Linked DNA regions of Drosophila melanogaster. The protein of the gene in region 2 interacts with the protein of the main gene of each other region in a pairwise test. Each region holds a gene or a part of one and is shown on either strand. Other genes may lie near its edges. The genes, in order: CG8568 and CG31820.

Evidence for each region.
Region 1: the proteins of CG31820 (region 2) and CG8568 interact in a two-hybrid assay, tested with the Drosophila melanogaster proteins (one large-scale study listed by BioGRID).

The regions. Positions count from the first base shown.
Region 1 is NC_004354.4:17,450,821-17,454,752, forward strand, and holds the start of CG8568 (uncharacterized protein), read right to left. Parts: upstream 1,724-3,932; 5' UTR 1,509-1,723; coding exon 1,223-1,508; intron 316-1,222; coding exon 1-315.
Region 2 is NT_033779.5:16,005,160-16,008,098, reverse strand, and holds CG31820 (uncharacterized protein), read left to right. Parts: upstream 1-1,819; 5' UTR 1,820-1,932; intron 1,933-1,983; 5' UTR 1,984-2,004; coding exon 2,005-2,193; 3' UTR 2,194-2,310; downstream 2,311-2,939. Other genes in the region: CG13245 (uncharacterized protein), read right to left, coding at 2,747-2,939.

The DNA.
Region 1 (3,932 bases), on a different chromosome or scaffold from region 2:
GCAGTACGGGCTTGCCATTCTTGTCCACATACTGCAGACCATCCAGACCCATTCGCATGCACTGGAAATGCATCTCGAAGAGATCGGTGGTGGCCATCCGAACCACAAAGTCCATGCACATGTTTAGGTTGTTCCCAACCACTGTGACGTCGGTCATTTGGACGCACATGGCCATCGGTACACCCATCATGACGGGAATGCAGAAGGGCGCCGGATTGCGCACCGAGATTCCGTATTTCGAGGAGGGCCTGCCATTAAGAAAGACCTCCAGTTGGGCCTCCTCCAGATGCGGCACGAAGCTCACGTTGGCGCACACTGCAAACAGAGGCAAAATGGAAAGAAAACGTTGAGTCAAAATTACAGATAGGCACAACAATGAAACGATTCGATTCAATGAATGAAAGTGGCGGGTGGCAAACTGTCGACGAATCCCAGGCAAATGGTGGGTGCTGGGTGCTGAATGGTGGATGGTGGATGAGGCGATGAGGGGGTGGCCACCGCTGGAAGCGCCAACAATTTGTGGCATTTTGATTGGCAAATGCTGGCATGTCACGAAGCGAAGCGGAGCGAAATGGAAACCAAGCCAAACCACCGATCGCATTGTAGTCTCCGGCATGCGCCGCCAACCCGCGGCCAAGATCGGTTTCTTGGCCAAGGAAATCGGCCTGGAATCCAGCCGAAATCGCAGCCAAATATGTGTGGCCACCACCCGCAGGCCAGGAGCCACGATTCCGACCAGGCTAAGTGACGGCAAAGATCCCAATTTATGCATAAGCATATGGCCGACGGATTGATCCTACGGCGATTACTAACCTAGTGCCCATTAGTGTATATTAAGATATTAAGGCTAAATAGCATGCTGAAAATGAAAACCCATTAATGGTTTTCTTCACCAAATAAATAACAAGTGCACTGTGCAAAAAATCTACTAAATGCATATCCTTTCTCGCGTAGATATAATACATGTTATTCGTAATCAATGTTCTTGTTGGTTTCAAACCATAATAATATACATCAATACAAAACCATTTCTTTCTAAAGAAATGAGAAATATTTTTAACATTCTGAATTTGAAATTATAACTAAGGTTGTAATTTTCATAATGTCTCGAATGTCACACTGTTTCATATTACTAATCTCCTAATCAATAATCTACTAAACATTTAAAGTATTGCAATATTCTATTCCCCATTAATAGCTAACGAAGCATGGGCTTTCTCACCTTTCTGATCGAATCGGTACTGATCGACCTTGAGACCGGCGCAACATCCGCAGGTGGGTCCGCTGCACTCGCAGGGCTGGCCAAAGGTGGACCAGATGGACCCCTTTTCGGAGTACTTGACGCTGGCCAGATTTCGGCCCCTGGACACACTGACCGTGGGCGGTAGGTAGGGTCGGTGGGTCTTCAGTTCGTAGAAGATCAGACCGTTGCTGTAGCTGCGCGAGGATGTGTGAAGGGGGCACAGGATGAGCACAATGGCCGCGCTTAGGCAAATCCAGGGAATCATGGCCACTGTGGATGTCAAACTGCACACTGAACAAAAAACTGATGAACACTGAACAAAAAAGGGTGCTGCAACGCGTTTCAGGTATGGTATTGTGTGTGGTATTCTCTTGGCGAATTCCCGGATCACTTCACGATTAACGGTAACGGTACAGCCGTGGCAATCGCAATCCAATGGCAATGGCAATTCAACTATTATTCCAGTGGAGCAATGACAACCGCTCGCGATCGACGACAATTAAATATTAAAACGCTGAACGCGACGAGCGTTAGCTTAAAAATGAAATGGAAACCGCCGCCCGAATAAGTGGACGTCGACGTCGACGGCAGCGACTGCGACGGCGAGCGCGGCAGAGGCCAAAATGTTGCTGCTGGGGGGACACCGCAGCAACAGCAGCACCACGCAGCAGCAACAGCAACAGCAGCCGCAGCAGCAGCAATATCCAACGGCAGCGCGGCAGCCTCGTTAAATTGTCGCTCGTTGCGGCTGTTTGCTGTTTTTGCGGGCAAACCATTTGTACACTACTCGAAAAAGGGTAGCACAGTCCAGTGAATAGCTTTGTACATTCCGATATGCTTAAGAACTTCAAATAGTAAAATCCTTATAATTCTACTCTAACAAATATTGAGTATCATAATCAAATGTATATTCAGTTGAAATTAAATAAAGTATTATATATATTTAACAAACAAGATATTTAAATAATATATAATTATAATATAAAATATATAATATATAAATTCTTTATAATAATTATGTATATAACCCAATAATATATATTCTTAGTATTATTAAGTTTATGATCCTATTTTATTTGTGATTTGGTTTAATTTAAAACTTTTCTTATGATTTGCATTTATTTCACTTTGCGACTTGAATTTTTTTGGCAGCATGGTTTGTTTTTTAAAAAATATTATTATTTTTATTTAAAAATCCATAGTTGTTTAAACATATCCTAACTCCCTGATTAGGGTATTCCATATTCGCATTGATCTCAGACGATTTAGTTCTTATCAGCAGCGGCGAATCGCCAATTTCTGTTGTTGCTGCTGCAACCATTTTTTTTTTTTTTTTGTATTCCTCTTTACTATTGTTGTTACTGTTTCTGTTACTGTTACTGCTGCTGTTCGTGCAGTTGCAGTTTTTACTGTGGCAGCCGCTTTGTTTATTTGTCTTTTAAGCCGATGTTGCTGCTGTTGCTGCTTTGCTTTGTTGCGTGCGACGAGCGGTTTTTGTTTTTTTGTCGTATTTCGGGTGACAGTGACAAGAAAATTGCGGCGATCGTGACTGGCTGGGAAAGCCAAAAACAACAAAATTCCACACTCCCTGCCGCATTTGTTGTTGCTGCTGCTGCTGCTGCGTGGTGTTGTTGTTGTTACGCAAAGCACTTGAGGCAGGTCATGGCCCCATGGACAAACCGAAACCCTCCACTCGACTCGACTCCACTCCACTCGTTTTTCGAACTGGGCACCGCACCATTGCCGGCGGCGGGAGTTACGGTTATGGCCGCTGCTGTTGCCATAAACAAGCCTGATTTATCGATCCGATTGCCGCATCCGTTGTGGATGTCACTAGTTTATTCTCTTCCCTGGTTCATCCTTTTCCCCAAAATGGCATTCTTCGAATGCATCAACAAGCAAATAAACCAGTCCTTTGGGCAACACGTCCTGTTTCATTTCATTTCATTTTGTATTCGATTGTTGCGATTCCCATTTGATGGTTCTATTTCAGCAAATTGGGCTTTTTTAACCCTTTTATAACAATCTCTGGCACTGCAAAGTCCTTTCTTTTAACAACAATAACGAACTACACGGAAAATTGTATCTGTTTTCAAGAAGTGAAATACGTTGCAAGAAGATAAATTAACAAATTTGAAAACCTCTTTGTTTGCATTGCATCTGAACAACAAAATATTTCTATGATTTTTGGCATAAGCTATGATATTATATTAACAAATCATTAATGTTTATAAAAGAGATATTTATGAAAGAGATATTTCAAACTATTGGGGCATCACTGCATTTGAATGGCAGCGTATTTCGGTGGCTATTTCGGGTACCGGTCCCAATCGCCTTAGGGCCCCAATATTGCATAATGTCTGGCCCAGACTCATTTATCAGCCGGTGGCCGGTGTCCGATGGCCAATGGCCAATGGCCGATGACCAAAGGCCAGCGGAGGAGAGTCAGCCGAACTGCAATCTCGTTAAGCGTTAAGGGGGACAGACACTTGCCAAGTTCGAATCATTATTTCGATTCAAAGGCGGGCGGCGGAATAAAGCAAAATGGAAATAGATGTGAAAATGAAATTGAAAATGGAAGTGGAAATAAAAGTGTCGCCAACAATTAACGCTAATAAGCTGGACTGGCTGGGAGCTGCGGTGCAATGTGCTTTCGTTTATGTAATGGGCCATCTCGTCATTATCAGCC
Region 2 (2,939 bases):
AGGCCGTGTCACAAAAGTAACGTTAAGTTCTCCTTTTTACCTAATTTATACAGTTTACGCTGGGCGGTTGTCCAATGTCCACTGTCCCAATGTCCTGCGGCCCCTGCGATCTCCCATTTATGTCCGGATTCAGGGAGTGGAAGCCATATAATTGCGCTTATCTCTTGGCGCACACTCAAGTGGCCCGGCTCAATATGTTTTTGGAGTGAAATGAAGTGCCCATCGTATCCACTTGGAAAAGAAAAAAAAAATGAGAAAAAAAAGAGAAAAGAGGCAGGGCGGCCAAGAGGCACTGGCATTGGAATCCCGGCAGAAATTTTTGTATTTGATTTAAAAGGAAATACCTTTTTTAGTTGAAGCCTCACTTGTTTACCCTGCTGTTTTGCTTTTCCCTGGTGTTTCTCCCTTTTTGTGGTGACATTTTTATACACTGTGTGTGTGTGCAGGGGGATAAGTTTTTGGCATCCTACCAATGAGATTATCTTAAGTGGGGTGTTGTTTTTCGGTTCGAAGGAATGTGGAGGGCCCTCAATTGCAGTCTTGAAGCTGGGTTCCCTTTTTTGGTTCGTTTAGAAATGAGTTTCGCAATAGTTCTTAACTGTCTGGGGGTCTGTGGTTTTTCCTTTTCTCCAACAGCGAGCTGTTATTGGTAAATCGATGTAAATTGCTTTTTAAACAAGTTGAATGAATAAATTATAAGGCCAAATGGAATGCCAAGCGGAGGATTCATTGCCAATGTTAATAGTGAGAATTTTTGAAATTGTTATAAAATCCAGCGTTTAAGGTAAGCACAAAATTTGATAGCACAAAATATTATGAAATAAGTTTCAGTTATTATCTTTTTTTAATCTTATTGTATTTTAAAGCTAAGTATATAATAAAAACTCAAATATTTATTTATTGAAGCGTAGTTATTTGACATTTGCTGATTTGCTGATCACAACCAAAACAATTGCTTTTCATTATTCAAAATTTAAGCTGGCCGATTTAATACCATTTGAACAATTCCAATTTAGTTTAAATAAGTTACATTGTCCATTCTCTGATACAGACTTCTCATATATATGGATATATGTATATGTATATGCTGTGAGTGCATCTTTTGAAAGCCTCAAGTGTGAACACACATTATAATAAACGCCTCAATTGTTGTTCAGTCATCTGCGTAATTTATGTTTAGCTAATGTTCAGGGATCGATGAGCTTGTCAGCTTTTGTGAATCACAACGCCCGCAGACGCACACGAGGTCCTGTATATCCTATATCCTGTCCCGCACACACATGCCCTAACATTAACCCCCCGAAAACCGAAGGAAGCTGGAAAATGGCGTTAAGGTTGCTTCGTTGAGTCTAATAGACTTTCATGTCTGCCTCGACATTGCCGTTGCCCCAGTTTAGAGCGAGTCCTGTACAGAATCCTTTCGGCATCTTCCATCCCATCTCATACTGGTGTTATTCTGCCCAGAGTCGTCGTTTTTTTTTTTTTTTTAGACATGTTTCAATGATTTCTTATTTTTGCCAGAGGGGCGAATCTGTTGCGCTGCTGTTTTGTCGTTAGAGAAATTCAATTTTTTTGTATTTGTCGCTTCGATGTTAAATCATTGATGTGTGAAATTTGTGAGCTCAGCCAGGAGGAGAGCAGCATCAACAACTTGACTTTGATCGATTTTAAAGGCAGTTTCTCTAGCCCACTTTGATTTCCTTTCTGGCTTTCTAGCTGGTTTTAAATTTTTCCACATCAAGTTGGCTTCGGGAAGAATTTCCCAGGGCATGGGCTTGGTTTTCTTAGCTCAGCTCATTCCAGTCTATTTACTTGTTTTGTAAACAGCTCCGTACGCTTTCACCAGTACATAAACCAAAAGTACGAAAAAATTTCGTGTTTCAACATTTTTGGAAATCTTTACTCAAGCATTTCTCTTGCCTTAAACAAAATGTGAGTAGTCCTAATTTCCCCGAAAGATTTTCTATCGAATATCTCCTTCAGTTATAACCTATCCTCCCGAAGATGTGTTGCCAAGGAGCTTGTGGATCGGTATCCTATGCCCTGGCTTATGGCCCCGTCGGACCCGCTCTGCCAGCCATGAACTATAATAACTGCTGCTGTGGACCCAATCCTCCCTGTGGTCCCTGGACATGTCCTCCTAACAGGTGCTGTTGTGCCGGCGAATGGGGTTGCTTTGGGCCTTTTTACTGAGAAACCCAAGGTACGACAATTCCTGAAGAAAACGACGTGAAATTTTTTTGTGCTTTTGGTTTGAACCACATTTTCACTTACACAATGGTTCGAGCTTTTCAATAAATTAATGTACTTAAACAAGTAACTTCTTATTTACTATTTGTCAAATTTCTTGAGAAATTTCATATTCCATTGATACGTATATGAAAAATAAGAAAATATACCAAAATCCTAGATAGCACAATCTTACTAGGATTGAGTATCCTAAGTATACCATGAGGTATAATTCTTTCTCTAATGGTTCTTGAAATTGTATGGCTCAAATTTAATATTCCTTTAAAAAAAAATATACTAAAATTGTCGACAGTTTTACCAGGACCAGGATACCGATAGGAAAAATATGAAAATAATTAGGCGCGACAGCGTAGGTACAAGATCTCTAACTAAGGAACAAACTTACTTAGTCAGTATTAGTCCCTCAAATTTTTATTGGTTTCCCATGGAAATGGCTGGTACAAGAAGATCTACACTGATAATTTTAGTAGTATAAGACCGCATTTCCTCCTGGCGTTTATTCGTCTTCCTTTTTTTTCTGAGTACTCGCCAGTGTGCAGAGCTGCGCATCCAGTGGAGACAGGATGTGCGGAACATAGCAGTTGTTGGTGTTCTTCTTGCGGCTAGTATCTAGAACATAACACTTATCGCAAGGACCGCAGGGCGTGGGTATAAAGTCCCGACCGGTGAAACGCAGTGTTGACAAGGGA